Linked DNA regions of Diceros bicornis minor. The protein of the gene in region 1 interacts with the protein of each later gene in a biochemical or structural test. Links are inferred from orthologs where the notes say so. Each region holds a gene or a part of one and is shown on either strand. Other genes may lie near its edges.

Region 1 (7,822 bases):
CTGCGAGGGGCGACTCCCGTGCTGTCCTGCGGCACCTCGTTTGCACCTCCGGGGTCCTTTCCCTCACCAGGCCCCACCCGAGGACCCGCTCAGCCCAGCTGTGGCAGCCACACTGGTTCCCGGGCCCCGGCTCAGCCAGCAGTTCTGCTGACCCTGCAGGAACTGCTCATTAAGCTAATAGTTCCCAGAGCTCCTTGACTTCAGTTGATGGTATCAGCCCTGCTGGAGATCCTCGCCGATAAGGCGCTCCCCGCCTGCTCCGGGTGATTTGTTATTAAACAAACACCGCTGGCTTCATTATGAAGCCAGCTCGGCCCTCCTTGGAGGTGCCAGCATGTGTGGCTCTGCTCCAGGCCCCGGCTGCCCAGAAACGGCGCCTGGCGTCCGTGGTGCCCGGGAGCCTGGCTGCGGGGGGTGTGGGCCTGGCGTCTCCTCTGCCCCATCGGGACTCTTTCCACCATCTGAGGGGTGAGGGTGGGGTGCTTCCCAGCTTGAGCCAAGGGGTCCTGGGCTTGAGGAGGCCCCAGGCCCTCAGCCTGGGGAACAGCAGCCCCTGTTTAATCTCTTTCTTCTCACTCCAGAGTTACCGAGGTGCTCATTCCCCCCATTGTCACCTGCATATGATGAACAGCGTGAAGTGGTGGCTTTAAAGCGAAATCTCTCCCTGGGCCTCGGCTCTGCGAGCCCGTCCCTGAGAGGCCCCCTCCCGGTGGAGGAGGACACGCCTGCGTACTCGGCCCTGCCCGCTCCCAGCTCTGGCTCCCCGGTGCCCCCACGGGCTCAGCAGAGGCTGGTCAGGGCTTGACGGGCGTGGCCCCTTCTGGGAAGAATGGCAGCTGCTCTCCCTGGGCGCTGGTGCGGGCGCTCCCGAGGGCCTGGGGTTTCCCTCCCGGGGCCCGGCAGCCCCTGCATGTCAGTGCGGTGAGATGCAGCCTGTGGAGTGAGAAGGCACAGGCAGCAGAAGGTTCTGGAGAGCTGTCTGTCTTGCTTTGAGTGAGCAGTCAGGTGTGTCGCTCTGTGGGTGGTGCACACGTGTGTGTGCATGTGTTAGTGTGAGGGACAATGACTGCCACACCTCTGAGGGCCTTTTTGGGCCCCATCCCAGAGAGCCCCCCCACCCCTGGCCCCACCCGGGGCTACCTGGATTTTGGAGTCACGGGCCTGGGTTCGAGGTCCAGCCTGGGGCGGCTAGGGCGCTCTCCAGCTGAGTGACCCTGGGCACATCCCCCTTCCCGTCCCGTCCGAAAGCTGCCCTGCTGTCTCCTGCAGCCTCGTGGTTCGGAGGCGTGGGGGCCAGGGCTGAGTGGAGACACCCCCTCCTCCCGGTTCAAGGCCCATTTTAACCTGAAACCTTACACACGTTGTTTATGCAGTCACACACGTATGCATGCGCGTGCACAGACGCTCAGACACGTGAACTCACACCGGATCTCTGACTCTAGTCTGCCGAATGGATGGGCTGGGTGTTCACAGCCCCTCAGTGTGCCAAGCAAGACCCTCTGAGGTTTTGGAGTCTTGCTGGGTCTCAAGACCTCGTAGGGTGCTGGGGGCAGGGCTCCAGGGCGGGTGGGCATGGGGGGAGGGGAAGCCCCATTGCCTGACTCCCCAGGACGCAGCCGGGATCTGGCCCTTGGTCTCCCAATATGGGGACTGGAAGGAGAACCATCTGTCCCCATCGGAGGTATCTTTGAGGGCCCCAGAGGGGTGCGTTGGGTGACATCGGTCCACAGTGGGCCCTGGGGGAACCGGGTTTTGTTGTCTCAGACCTGAGTCTGGACCTGGCAGGGCCGCTCTCGCCCTGCAGGAGACTGCCTGCCTGGCTGCTCTCATTCCCCGGCTCTCCACAAGCCCTTTCCTGGCCACTGGGCCCAGACTGGGCCTCCCCGCCCGGGAACCTGTGATTACCTTCCTTATTTCTGTGCTGGTTCACTCTCTGTCCCCCCAGTGGGTTCTCTGTGTGTCCCCAGATCTACAGCAGTATCTGGTGTGAGGTGAGGGGCTCATGGTCACCCCTCATTTGAAATTCCATATCTTTTGATGTGGCCTGGCTATACAGAGCCTTTCGGGATTTCAGAGAGCCAACGGTGGCATGACAGCTCTAATCGTGCTTCTTTGTCACCCCCAGCCTGTCCCCGAGAGTCGGCTGGGCATTGTGCTGGACACCAGGGGTGGGGCATCCAGACACCATTGTGGCCCCTTGGAGCCCATGGTGTGGTGGAGACCCCGGCGAGTCTGCAGGGTGGGGAACCGGCAGTGGCAGGACCTGGGGGGCCGGATGCCCATCAGGCTCAACCCACAGAGGGGCAGGGCCAGAGGGAGCGTGGATGCCGCTGGGCCGCACGTTCTAGGAGAGGGTGCTGCTGAGAGGGGAGGCTGCCCGGCTGGGCGGCCGGCTGAGGGGTTGCCGCAGTCATTGAGGGAGGTGGCAGCCAGCGGCCAGGGCAGAGTCCCCTCTGCTCACTCCTTTGGGATGTCTCCTGAGGGCCTGGGGTGAGGCCGCGTCTGGCCTGAACAGCGGGCAGCTGTGCTGGGAGACTTAGCCCCCAGAGCTGAAGAGAGAGTGTGCGGGTGTCGGCTGGTGTGGGGCCCTGGGCAGGCTCTGGAGTCAGCGGGTGCTGGGGCCCTGGGCATGTCGTCCCAGGGACACATGGCAGAGGGCATGTGGGCTGGGCATTTACCTCCAAAGTTGGCCCACCGCCCCCATCGGGCCCCTACCCCAATGAAAGCTCCTGCCTCCTGCTGGCCCGGTGCGGGCAGCCAGCTGTGGGGCTGGGGTGGGGTTCTTGCTGCCCTGCTCCCCCAGGGGTGGCCTTGGGTGAGTCCCTGGCCCTCACTGGGCCTTGGTTTCCTCCTCTCTGGGGTGGGCTTGCCGTGAGGGCTCATGTCCCTGGAGCACGAGGTGCCCTTGAGTGGCACCTGCCGTCCCCGGCCCACTCTTGTTTCTGCTTACAAGTCAGCAAAGGCGTGCAGGCCGCAAGTGGGCCGGGCTCGGCTGGCCTGGGAGGTGGGGGCGCGCTTGCTCCGCCTGGCTGGCCGCCGTGGGGACAGGGAGACGACCCGCGAAGGGGCCCCCCGGGCCTGGGCGGGCAGGGCGCCCTGGGCGCTCGGGGCTGTGGGCGAGCCCGGCGGACCCCTTCCGCTGCCACTCCACTTGCTGGGCCTCCCGGGGCTGGGGAGGAGGCCCGGCCTCCGCGGGCGCTTTCTCTTTCCAGAACACCGTCTCCCCCCGAGCTTCGCCCCGCAGGTCCGCAGGGAAGCCTCAACCCGGTTCACGGCCGCGCACGGTGGCCCATTTCTGGCCTGGTCCCCGCCATTCCCGGGGCCTGCGGCCTGGCCTGGGGAGTGGGAAGCAGGCTGGGCGTGGCCTTTGCACCTTCAAGGTGGCCCCACCCTTATCTCTGCGTGCCCTGAGGACGAGGGCCGTTGCCCAGGTCGGGGGGTTGGGGGTGCCGGGGGGCCGTGGGGCCGTGAGCCCTGTGCCCCGACCGGCCTCTCCCCGCGTGACCGCCGGGCGGCGGACAAGTTGGCAGTGGCCCTTGCCTGGGCGCTGCTGCGTGTCGAAACCAGTCGCTGACGCGGCGGGCGGTGTTGAAATAAGTGCTCCTGGGTTTCCCAACATCCTGCCAGCCTGTCACAGGACTGGGTGTCAGGGGCCTGGGTGCCAGGCCCAGCCTGCGCCTCCCTCTTGGGGTGTCGGGCTCCCCATTTCCTCCCCTCCCCTTGCTGCCCGAGGTGCTGGCAGAGTCGTGACACACTAGAGCAGGGTGACATTACTCTGGGCCCACGTTGTCTTTGTGACCTGCCCCTTTTACAGAGGTCAGGTGGCTTTGGAGTGGAAGGCGGGATTTGAACCTGGGCCTTGGGGCAGGAAGGAGGGTCGGGGAGCAGAGGCAGGCCGAGGATGGCTTGCCAGCCCGGTGGGCACACAGCGAGCAGGTGGCAGAGGGCGGCAGCCAAGGGTCCCAGCTCCCTGTGCCCTCTGAGGGACTGTCCTGGCGTACTGGGCTGCCCCCTCTCGAGGAGATGGTGGGAAGAGGGGAGCCCTGGGCAGCACTGGGTGGCGCCCCTCTCCCTTTGGCTGGCGTGAGGCCTGGCTCGTGGGCCTGCACTGCAGGGGGGCAGACAGTGGCCACGGGGGCTGCACATTCATCGATTGTCCACGTGCTCCAGGCAGTTGACTTTGGAGGGGTCGGGGGGCCCTCCCCTTAACCTCCTGGGGTGGGCATTCTCATTCTCAGTGTTGAGAGGAGGAAACCAGAGCTCAGAGAGGCCAAGTGACCTGCTGGGGGCGTCCGGTTCTGCAATTCTGAGCTGTGCGACCTCAGGCGAGTAGCCCAGGCTCTCTGATCCCTGAGGGGACTCTGCTGGCCTGGGCAGGGAGCTGGTTGAGGATGCTTCTGGAATCAGGCCCTCTGGGTGAAGGGGAGGAGGAGAGGGGCTCAGGATCACCCTCGCACTGCTGCAGACCCCTATCAGGTCCCCTGCCGGGTGGGGCCTGGCTTCTAGGAACTGTGGTCAGGCCTCACCCCTACTTTGGCGTCTGCCCGTCGCCTGTCAGCAGGGGAGGGGCCTGGGGGCAAGTCTCTTATAGATGAGGAAGCAGGCGCCAAGAGAGGGTGAGGGGCTGGGTCTGGGCCACACAGCGAGGCTGCCGCCCAGCCAGGGGCCCATGTGGAGGCGGGTGTTGGGAGAGGCGCTCGGTAAGGTGGGAGTTTCAGTGGCCGGGGTGGGAGGACCATGTGGGTTCCAGCCGGTGGCAGCGAGCACTGTCACTCGGGCTGGGATGACAGTCACGGGAAGAGCAGTGACCTCCGAAGGGGCTCTCGGTTGTCAGGCACCTGCCATGTGCTGGAGTCGTGGCCGGTGCCTCCCCGCCATAGCAGCCCAGGCCTGCTGGGCGCCGGGCACATGCTCAGCTCACCCAGTCATCCTAGAACAGCCCTGTCTGGCGGGTTTGTGAGCCCATTTTCCAGATGAGAACACTGCGGCCCCGAGATGTGACGCCACTGACTGTGGTCCCTGGCCGGGGGAGGTGGGGCTGGCCTTGGACCCGGTGCCTCCTGGTGCCAGGGGTCCCTGCATCTGTCTGCCGCCTTCCCTGGGGCTGCGGCTGTGGTGGCTGCCCTGGGGTGGGCATGTGTGTAGGTCTTTTCTATCTCCCAGCTTGTGGACAGAGAGCCGAGGGGTTGGTTTGGAGGATGTAGGAGTCTACTGTGCTGTAGCTGGAGGGAGGTGAGTAGTGCCTCCTACAGGAAGCCTTCCTTGATTGATGTCTGCACCAGGACAGAGTGCCCCTCCTCCTCGTGCTGCATCACTGACTGACTGGGCTCTCTCGGCTCCGGGAAAGGCTGTCGTCTGACTCTGGACGGGGTGTCCCTGGGCAGGCCCGGCCTTGCTCATCTGCCTGTTCCTAGCATGGGGGCGGTGGGACACAGGTGTCCCCTAGTGAGTGCTCTGTGTGATGTGTGAGGGGGGCTGAAGCCGAGGGCACCATCCCTTTGTGGGGACAAGGACTCTTAGACCCAGCGGGGTTGAGTCAGATGCCCGGGGCCCCACCCAGGCATGAGTCGTGCAGCAGCCAGGACTCGAACTCAGGTCTGCTAGCTCTGGGCCACCTGTGCCTCACCACCTCTGTTCACCATCTGTGGGGACGGGTGAGAAAGGGCAGCTTCAGGGTCACTCGTCCACTTCCATTGCCTCCTGACCACTTCCTTCGTATGTGACATCTCTTTGCAGAAGAAGAAATAAAGGCTCAGAGAGGTTGCTTAATCTACTTGGAGTTGGACAGCTTGTCAGTGCCTTAGGGTCTGTTTGAAACTTGGTGCTTGCTCAGCTGGTTCTTAAGGACTGTGGTGAATCCTGTAGCCTGTGTTCACCCATTGCTAGCTCTCCCACCCCCACCCCATCCATCCATTTAGTAAGTCTTTATTTGGCACCTGCTGTGTGCCAGGCCCCAGGGGTGCTCAGTGAACCAGTTATAGTTCCTACCTTCAGGAGCCCCCAGACCTTGGCAGGCGCAGACAAGTGGGCTGGGGCCACCCTGCGGCATGGTGAGTGCTCTGGGGGTACATAGTAGAAGAGGCCTCTGCCCTGGCTAGGAGGATCAGGAGGGCTTCCTGGAGGGGGTGTTGTTTGAACTGAGCCTGGGTTGGAGTGAGCCAGGAGACAGATAGGGGGAGTTTCAAGCCCAGGGAACAGCATGTCCGCAACTACAGGCGAGAGAGCTGGTTCCTGGAAATGATCCAGTTCCCAAGGCTGGGGGTGGAGAGTGGACAGGCCCAGAGAGCATAGGGCAGTGTGGGGAGGGGTGGGAGCCCCCAGGGCGGGTGAGGAGGAGCACAGGAGGTGCTACTGTGGCTGTGGTTGGCTTGGCACCCCAGGAGACCTTCCTGCCTCCAGCATTGCAGTGGTGCTGGGCACTTGGCTGCCCGGTCAGGGTCAGGGAGATGGGCAAGCTTCTTGGAGGGAGGCTGAGGGGTCCCCTGGTGGGCCTCGGCCCTGTCTGGAGCTCTGGGGTTGGGATGCCACAAGAGGTTGGTCCTAGGTGGCTGGCGAAGGCTTCCAGGCAGGCCCCGGCCCAGAGTAACCCCGGTTCATCCCGGGGTCAGCCCAGGGACCGTTCTGACGGGCTGGCGTTAGTCTGGGCCGAGCCATGCTGGGTCAGCCAGCTCACCTTACAGCCGAGGACACGGGCCGGACGGTGGGCGCGGGGCTGGGCGAGGAGCTCCCGGCCCTCCTGGGGCTCCTTCCAGCTCACACTGGGGGAGGGTGGAGGAGTCTGCGGCAATGGGTTTGGAGAATATCAAACCTGTGTTTGGCTAGGAGGGTGCTTTTGGTGGGAGAGTTTGTGCAAGTGGCTGATCAGGGATGATGCTGAGATTCTGTAAAACAGCTCCCCCCAAAGAAAGAAAGAACTCCAAAACCAACCACCCTACAACTCTGTTATTAACACCAAACAGAGGAAGTAAAAACCGGCCATGGCGTGCCCCCCGCCCAGGGTTAGTGCTGCGGGCCTTTGCTGTGGCCCGGCCTTCCTCCACGTGCGGATGTCTGGATAATAGCGTATCTCGGTATTTATTATTTTATGGACAAAGATGGAATGCCGATTTTTGGTTTCTGTCAAAGTTGGGATTCCCCCTTCCCCAGTTTTTGGGGAGGAAGAAGTTGGCCTCTTGCTGAGACTGGCCAGGCCTTTTCCAGGCCAGAGGAGGAGAGAACCGGAGCGTTCTCGGAGACTTTGGCTCCAGGACCCGGGGTCCTGCTCTGGTCACCACCCTCCCGCGCCTCAAGCAGCACCCACCACCCTGTGGGCATGGCCCGGGGTTGGGAGATTCTAGGGGCTTCTGGGCCCCAGCAGGGTGTGTGTGGGGTGTAAGTGTGTATGTGCTGATGTCCGTCCATCTGCGTGGAGACCCCTAAGTGGTCTCCGTCCCCTTGTTGGGGCAGAGGTTCCCTCCAGTGCCCCTGAGGTTACCCCGCTCCTCTGGCCTCCCCCACCCTCGCCCTGCACCTCGGGCCCAGGCAGCCCTGGGTCCCGGTCTTGTCTGCCACTGACCAGCCAGCTGTGTGGCCTTGGGCAGGTTGAACTTTGTGTCTTTGAGCCTCAGTTTCCCTTCTGTAAAAAGACAGTGGTGCTTGTAGGGTTTTTGGAAGAGCTGGAAGAGGTCTGTGTTCTAAAGTGCCCAGCGCAGGGTCCCAGGCGTTGAGGATGATCAGAGCACGCCGAGCGTCCTCCTCACGTGGCACTGACAGGTGGACGTAGGGGCGTCGGGCAGGCGCCTTTTTCCCACTCGTAGATGCAGGGCTTGGGGAGGCACCTGTC
Region 2 (8,068 bases), on another chromosome or scaffold:
AAGACTGGCCCTGGGCTAACATCCGTGCCCATCTTCCTCTACTTTATATGTGGGATATCTGCCACAGCATGGCTTCACAAGTAGTGCGTAGGTCCGCGCCCGGGATCCGGACCTGCGAACCCCAGGCTGCCAAAGTGGAGCGCGCAAACTTAACCACTCTGCCATTGGGGGGGGCCCCTACAAACATTTTTAAAAAAATGACTGAACTTTTTATCTTCCTGATGGCAGAAAATTTAATCTAATCATATTCTCAGTTACTTTAGGTTTTATTTCCATTTTGGTTTTGGTCATCATTGCAGGTTTTAAATCAGTCAATATAATATTCATTCTCCCTTCCATCTAGGGCCAATTTGAAGATCCAAGGGGTTAATAGGGCCATGGCACGTGGACTCAGAGACCTGAGTCCTTGGGCATCTTTGGTTCACGGTGGCATACACAGAATGTGCCTTGTCTCCATTGGTTCTTGACTGTTGGCATCTCTGTGGAAGCCACCGATATAATCCAAGATGGTCTTTGATCCCTACACACTACATCCTCCTTGTCCTAACCATGAGGCCTCAAGTCATCCAAGCCTCTCAGCTACTACTGAAGGTACAGAATCTTTTCCTTGTTCCTCTAAAGCTATAGGAGATTGGGTGAAGGGATTATCTCAAACCCTCCTTGCCTAGCTTTGTATCACGATCTCTAAGAGTTCTATTCAAAAATGATTTTGTTAAACTTCCCTGGAAGTTCTAGAATTTCTATTTGTTACTACCTTTCAAGGGGTGGGCATGAGAAATCCTCATTAGCATCTAATGCTCTTGCTCCCCTTGCAGACTCCCTTGTCTTCCAGACAAAGATTCTTAGCTCCAATTCTTATGTCCCCTCTCAGAGTGTTACCACCCAACGTGGGGCCTTCTGCTCGCCGAAAGACATGCCAATAGTCAAGAAGCAAGGTGGTAAGAGAAAAAGGACTTTTTTATTACTTTTTTATTTTAGGACTTTTTTATTTTATTTTTATTAGCAAACTTGCTAGCAAGAGGGAAGATGGCAGACTCACGTCCAAAAGAACCATCCTAAGGGGGCATGAAATCTTACAGCAGTTATATAGGCCATTGGGTTATTGCGGAGGGCGTTAGGAATGTTGACCTTCTGGTGTTACAGACTGGGAGTGCCACATCAGATCTTTCACTTTTCACTGATGATGGCTATCAGCATAGATTCTCTGTTTGAGGGTCATCGCATCCTAAGGAACTCAAAAAAGCAGTTATCATCTTATCACAGCTGGGAGGTACGTGCACAAGCAGGGGTCGTAAAATCTACAGAGCAGTTAGATCTTGTGGGGGAAGAGGGAGAATCCCCCTCTGCCCTTTCCCTTAAGGTTCTTATGGCTGGCCAAATCATTAACAAGACAGGTTAGCAGGAGAAAATAATACCAAGTTTAATAACATGTATACATGGGAGAAACCAGGGACACTGCGTTTCTCAACACAATAGCAGAAATTCTCGTCTTAAATACCATGTTCAGCCAATGACAAAGAAGGATGTTGGGGGTGGGGGGAGTCAGTTACAGGAGATTACCACTAAAGCACAGTAAACAAGAGTAAGGTTATTATGCAGATTTAAGGCCTCACTTTCCACATTGATAAGTTTCTAGAAATGAGGTCATCCCCCCTCTTCCCAACACAGAGAGGGAGATACCTTTACAAATGGAGATTTCCCTTATAAATGTAAATGTTTGTCTGGTGACTCCTCACAGGGCCATCCAGAGAATGTGGCCAGAGAGACAGAACATCTGATAAGATGGGCTTGTTGCTGCCTTTCCTATTGTAACATCTATTTTACATTATATTACAGCCATCAGATGGAAGATCTGTTCCAGGAAGGAATTACTATGGCAAATTCTTTAGGCAGTTAGTGGGGGAGGTCAAATGTCTGTCAGAGAAAACAATCAAGGTAAAGAGATATATTTCAGGGTGGCCAAATCTTGATCTCCCACAGTCTCCTGGAGGGTGCATATCCAGCTGGGTTAGTTTGTCAGAGGTCATTCAAAGTTATAGTAGAGTTTTTCTTTTCTACAATATGGCTTCCCTTATGTCAACCTTTCTTGAGCCAGTATCAAGAGGAGGTGGTAGACGTGGTGGTGGTGCAGTTTAGAAAATGGTAAACTATCCAATTAGGCTGAAGTTTTGATTGGGTATGGGAAAGCAGTGATGATCAGGTGCAGTGGGGAGCCATAGAAATTGTAGAACAAGAGAGGGGGTTAAATTCAGAGCTGTAATTAAGGAAACATAATCTATCAGTAGTGTGGATCTCTGTGAAATATTTTTGCAACACACTTGGGAGGACAACAATATCTAGATAAGAAAATCACATGATTAAAATACCCTAAAACAGGGGCCGGCCCAGTGGCCCAGGCAGTTAGGTACGCGCGCTCCGCTGCAGCGGCCCGGGGTTTGCTGGTTCCGATCCCGGGCGTGCACCAACGCACTGCTTATCAAAGCCATGCTGTGGCAGCGTCCCATATACAGTGGAGGAAGATGGGCGTGGATGTTGGCCCAGGGCCAGTCTTCCTCAGCAAAAAGAGGAGGATTGGCAGATGTTGGCTCAGGGCAGATCTTCCTCACACACACACAAAAATAAATAAAATAAAATACCCTAAAACAATAAATTCATTTTCTGGACTTAAAAAAATCCCCAGAAGCCATATATATTTGGACAAAGTAAAACATACGATTGTTTTAATTACACGAGACTAGGAAGTCTAAGAATACGGAAGATAATTTTCTCTAAAACTATTTATCCATGATAATTTGAGAAACTAAACTAGTGGGTTGTATCAAATTACATGGAACTCTCTCAAAACGAGCCTCCTCAATTTACCTCTCACTCCTTCTTTCTCCACCACCATCATTCGAAGGAATAAAAGGCGCTTTTCTTTAGTCTGCTTGAATCCTGTATACCTCCTTTGTAATGAATTACTAGCATCTTAAAATCATTAACTTAGAATTTGCTTTTCTAGTATATGAAGATTTTCAAAGTGCAGCTACAAAAAGATAGGGTACAGAATATGTACCGGGGAAGGGATGATGAGCTTTGTCTGGGGTGGTTTAAGGGGACAATAGGTAAGTCTGAATTTTGAGAGAAGGGCATTCCAAAACAAAGGGAACAACATGTGCAAAGGAGGAAGGCGTTAAAATTGCTGGAGGGTAGAGTATGCAAGTAGTGGGAGCTTCAGCTTGAGAGGTGAATAGGAATGAAATCACAGATGGAAGGTAGGTGGGTTAAGAAATTTGGGATAGGCCTCTGTTTCTCTAAGGGTGGTCCTGAACCACCCAGATCACAATCATGAGGTGCTGCTAAAATTGAATACGGGGATGGGCCCAAGAACCAGTTTTTGAGTAATCTTGCCAGGTGATTCTTATGCAAACTAAGGCTTAAGAAACTGCTACTATACAAAAGAAATAGCCTTTGAATGTCATTAAGAAAGAGAACTTCACTCTGGAGGCCTATGGAGACTGGATTTTAGGCCGGTGGAGACTGGTTGGGAAAGAGGCTGGTAGCAGAGGAATACCTTGGGAAAAGTAAAATCTTGAGGGAGGGCCAGGATGTCTCCAGTTTGCCCTCCCCCATTGCCATTTCTTCTTCCAGGATCATTTCAATTCTAACAAAGCCTTTTCTGAGACCATCCCACTCTCCTCAAAGGTCCAGCGCCACTTCATTTGTACTTAAAAATGGCACTTGCATACAATTTTTTTTACAGTCATGTGTGTACAAAAGCTTTGTTTTCCCCATCCCGTTTCTATACTTCAAGCTCCTTAAAATCTTGGCCATTTTTTGAGTGAAAATGTGTGTAACTTCTGATACAAGTGTGTGTGGGGGGCGGGGGATGAAAAAGAATACTGAAGTTATGAATTATTTGGACATCAGTGTTGACATTTATTTTTATTTCTTGTAATGATGCCATATTTATGCAATAAAGACATTTGCAGGGGCTGGCCCGGTGGCACAAGCGGTTAAGTGCGTGCGCTCCACTGTGGCAGCCCAGGGTTCGCCGGTTCGGATCCCTGGCACGCACCGATGCACCGCTTGTCAAGCCATGCTGTGGCAGCGTCCCATATAAAGTAGAGGAAGATGGGTATGGATGTTAGCCCAGGGCCAGTCTTCCTCAGCAAAAAAAGAGGAGGATTGGCAGATGTTAGCTCAGGGCTGATCTTCCTCACAAAAAAAAAACCAAAAACAAACCAAAAAAAGACATTTGCAATCTTTATATATTAATTCCTTGGAAAATGAACCATTTTTATTCACTTAAAAAGCAAATCCTTTAAAAATTCCCCACTTGCAAAAGAACCTCGCCCCTTACTCATGCTCCATCATTCATCACAGAGATGAGGACATTCAGGTGGCACAATCCATCCTGCCTTCATAATCCTTTTTACACAACATTTTCCCATTTTTAAAATTCTTTCCTTGTTTGCTCTTCACTATCTCCACTTCGTCCTCCTCTGACCCTCCTACCATATTTACTGCTCCTACAGGACCCCTGTCTCTAGTAGTAAAACCACAGTTTTCGAAGCAGTTACTTAATTAACGGCGTTCAGCAGACCCGGTGGAGCTCCGCCCCATAGGAGGAGCTCACACAGGCGGACCGAATTAAGTGCTCGGTCGTGAACAAACGAACCCTTAATCTTGACCAAGGAGCTAAACACACACAAAGGCCCAATCAGAGGACGCGGTTCTAGGAGCCCGGGGGGGCGGGGCTGGGCGAGCGCCCTCCCACCTCCCAGCCTCCCACCCTCCCGCCGCGGCCGTCGGAGCCTCGCGGGCTTCAGCAGGCCCCGCCCCCTGGCGAGGCGCGGCGGCTATTGGGCGGCTTGCTCCTCGCCTTCGCCTCAGTTGCTGGGAGAGGGAGGGCGGGTGGAGGGCGCGAGGTGAGTTGGGGGCCCCGAGAGAAAGGCGGGGAGCTGAGGGCAGGCTGGGCGGGTTCGACGAGCGCCGCGGCGGTTGGCGAGGCGGACGGGGCGCAGCCTTCCCGGTGCGAGGAACGGTCCTCGCTGACAGATTCCCTTCTTCCGGCCGCGCCACACTGGAGGCGGATCCGCGGGGCCTGAGGAGGCTTCCTCGGCCCGGCCCTCCCTCCCTCCCTCCCTCTCCCGCGGGTCACCCGAGCGGCCTGTGAGGAGGCGGAGGAGGAGGTCGTCGGGGGCTGCGCGGGCGGAGACCGCGCTCCCCCTACCCCGGCGGCGGCGGGGGCAGGACAATGGAGGTGGCTGTGGAGAAGGCGGCGACGCCGGCCGCGGCGGCTTCGGCGGCGGTGGCCGCCGGGGGGCCCTCGGCGGCGCCGAGTGGGGAGAACGAGGCCGAGAGTCGGCAGGGCCCCGACTCGGAGCGCGGAGGCGAGGCGGCCCGGCTCAACCTGTTGGACACTTGCGCCGTGTGCCACCAGAACATCCAGAGCCGGACGCCCAAGCTGCTGCCCTGCCTGCACTCCTTCTGCCAGCGCTGCCTGCCCGCGCCCCAGCGCTACCTCATGCTGTCCGCGCCCCTGCTGGGCTCGGCCGAGACCCCGCCGCCCGTGCCCGCCCCCGGCTCGCCGGTCAGCGGCTCCTCGCCGTTCGCCACCCAAGGTGAGAGGCGGGCGGGGAGGCGGGCGCCCCGGTGCGGCGCGACCCGCTGGCATGTCGCCGCCGCCCGGGTGCCCGGCGGGGGAGGGGCGGGGAGGAGGGTCTGTGTTGGCGGCGGTGACATGGAGGGCCCGCGCGCTCGGCGGCGTGCCGCGCGCCCCGCGAGCAACTTCCACGGGCGCCGTGGACTCGGCGGCGCTGCTGCTGCTCCTGCTCCTCGGCATTCTCCTCCGGGGCTGCGTGGCCCCGCCAGCCGCACTTTTGAAAACCTCTGTCGGAGTCCGCTGTCGGCTGTATCTCGGGTTCTCCGCCGACTGCATCTAGTTAACTGCTAACCTCTGCCTCCCCAAAGCTTTGTCCAGGTCCATACGATCCTAATCATCTCCTGTAGACTCCCGTTATTTGAGCTGGAGGGGGCACGGGCGGGATGAAGATGAAGTGATGGTGACTTTCTTTGATGATTGATTACAGATCGGATGCCGTCTGTTTTCTGTCTTACACGTTTTGGGTTCTTGACCTTAATGAGTCCCCACTTCTCTTCTCTTCCCTCTGCTGGGGACAAAGGAACTAAGAGACAGTGTTTTGTTGTCTTTCTCTTTGAAGGTTTTGAGACTGTAAAGGGTAAAGAGAAATAGAACAAAGTGATTTGGGTGTAGGATTTTCTTGTATTTTGTAGACAACAGCTGGAAATGTTGAACTTACTGTTTTCTTTGTGGTGTTTGTTACTGTGTAATGAGACTTTTGACGGGTAGTTCCTATTGCTAACGTTAACAGGTTTGAAACATTTCAAGTTAGTTGAAGTAAGCACGGTAATTATTTGTTTCTAGTAGAATACTTGGGGTTTTTCTATTTTAATATTGCGAATATTTGAGCACCTCCTTTTAGACAATACAAAGTAACTGGAAGAGGGAAATAATTCATTTTTAATATATACTTCCTTTTTAGAAGGACTAGTTGATTTAATTTGAGATAAAATTCTAATTAAATGAGCTAGGTCAAGGGGTATATGAAATTGATGTTTTAAATAGATTGTGGTGTTGGACTCAATTAATTGTATGTTAGGAACAACATCTAGTTGAGGGAAACAATTTTCCATGGGTCTCTTTCTGTTTCTGCAGGTCTTGCCAGTGGAGGTAGTGACTGCCCTTTGTTTCTGTTTTTAAAGGATGTTTGTATAAGCAACAGCCTTGGAAGATAGAGATAGTGTCTTCCACCAGAGCAAAGAGCAGGCATGCATATGGTCCAGTATAAAAAAGAGAAATGTCTCCTGGAGTAAAAGGCAGGCATGCTTATTGCCTATCAAAAGATGAGGGTTCTCCAAGCTTAGGTTTCATCTCCTGTAACACAACCCATTGCCTGTGCGGGTGTCAACTGGCCCTCTTTACTTTGCCAGTGGGAACTGGGGCTCTGGTAACGAGTGCAAAACTGTTGATGCTTTGGCTTATGTTTTTACGGTGAGTAAGCAACAAGCTGCCCTTTGTCTCTGACCCCTGAGTCTCATGTCTTCTACCAGCATCCGTGGTAAGCTACTTTGTTAGCATGCAAGTAGGGTAAAAATCGCAGATTCTTCACACTAGTTTGTTCTGATGTGGCCCACCTGTTGGAAAGTTAGTACAGGTGAAACTTTATTTCTAGGGCCAGCCCGGTGGCTTAGCGGTTAAGTGCACGAGCTCCACTACCGGCGGCTTGGGTTCAGATCCCGGGTGCGCACCGTCACACTGCTTGTCCGGCCATGCTGAGGCCACGTCCCACATACAGCTACTAGAAGGATGTGCAGCTATGACATACAGCTATCTACTGGGGCTTTGGGGAGAAAAGGGGAAAAAAAGGAGGAGGATTGGCATGGATGTTAGCTCAGGGTTGATCTTCCTCACACACAAAAAAATCTTAGTTCTTAATTTCTAGACATTTTAAAGTTTCTTTTATTCGTATTTAAAATGGTTAAATAGGCCAATAGCCAATTAGGATCTGAATTTTGCGTAATTCTAGAATTAAGATTTATTGTGTGCCTGGTGATGACGTTTAGACCTGAATAAATGAGAACATGGGCAATAAGAGCTCTGATCTTCAATTCTGAGACAAGTTTGTTATTCCAGATGTCTCAAAATGTTCTATGTAATTCCAGTCTCCAAATGTCTTTGCTCTTTGTATTGTAAGCAAGAGTTCAAGGAAAGCATTTAAATTAGAAGATAATGTTTTGTTGTTTTTTGTTGTTGTTTTTTTTTTTTTCTGAGGAAGATTCGTCCTGAGCTAACATCTGTTGCCAATATTTCTCTTTTTGCTTGAAGAAAATTGTTGCTGAGCTAACATCTGTGCAAATCTTCCTCTGTTTTGTATGTGGGTTGCCGCCACAGCATGGCCTCTGACAAGTGGTGTAGGTCCGAACCCAGGCTGCCATAGTGGAGTGCACTGAACTTAAAAACATGGGGCTGGCCCCATGTTTTTGTTTTCATACTAAGAAAGAA

The links.
Region 2: the proteins of RXRA (region 1) and TRIM24 form a complex in vitro, tested with the Homo sapiens proteins (3 studies listed by BioGRID). The link is inferred for Diceros bicornis minor from reciprocal best matches to the Homo sapiens genes RXRA and TRIM24.

The regions. Positions count from the first base shown.
Region 1 is NC_080767.1:41,224,251-41,232,072, forward strand, and holds the start of RXRA (retinoic acid receptor RXR-alpha), read left to right. Parts: upstream 1-4,646; 5' UTR 4,647-4,669; coding exon 4,670-4,700; intron 4,701-7,822. UniProt on the Homo sapiens protein: Receptor for retinoic acid that acts as a transcription factor.
Region 2 is NC_080742.1:86,359,949-86,368,016, forward strand, and holds the start of TRIM24 (transcription intermediary factor 1-alpha), read left to right. Parts: upstream 1-4,918; 5' UTR 4,919-5,239; coding exon 5,240-5,606; intron 5,607-8,068. UniProt on the Homo sapiens protein: Transcriptional coactivator that interacts with numerous nuclear receptors and coactivators and modulates the transcription of target genes.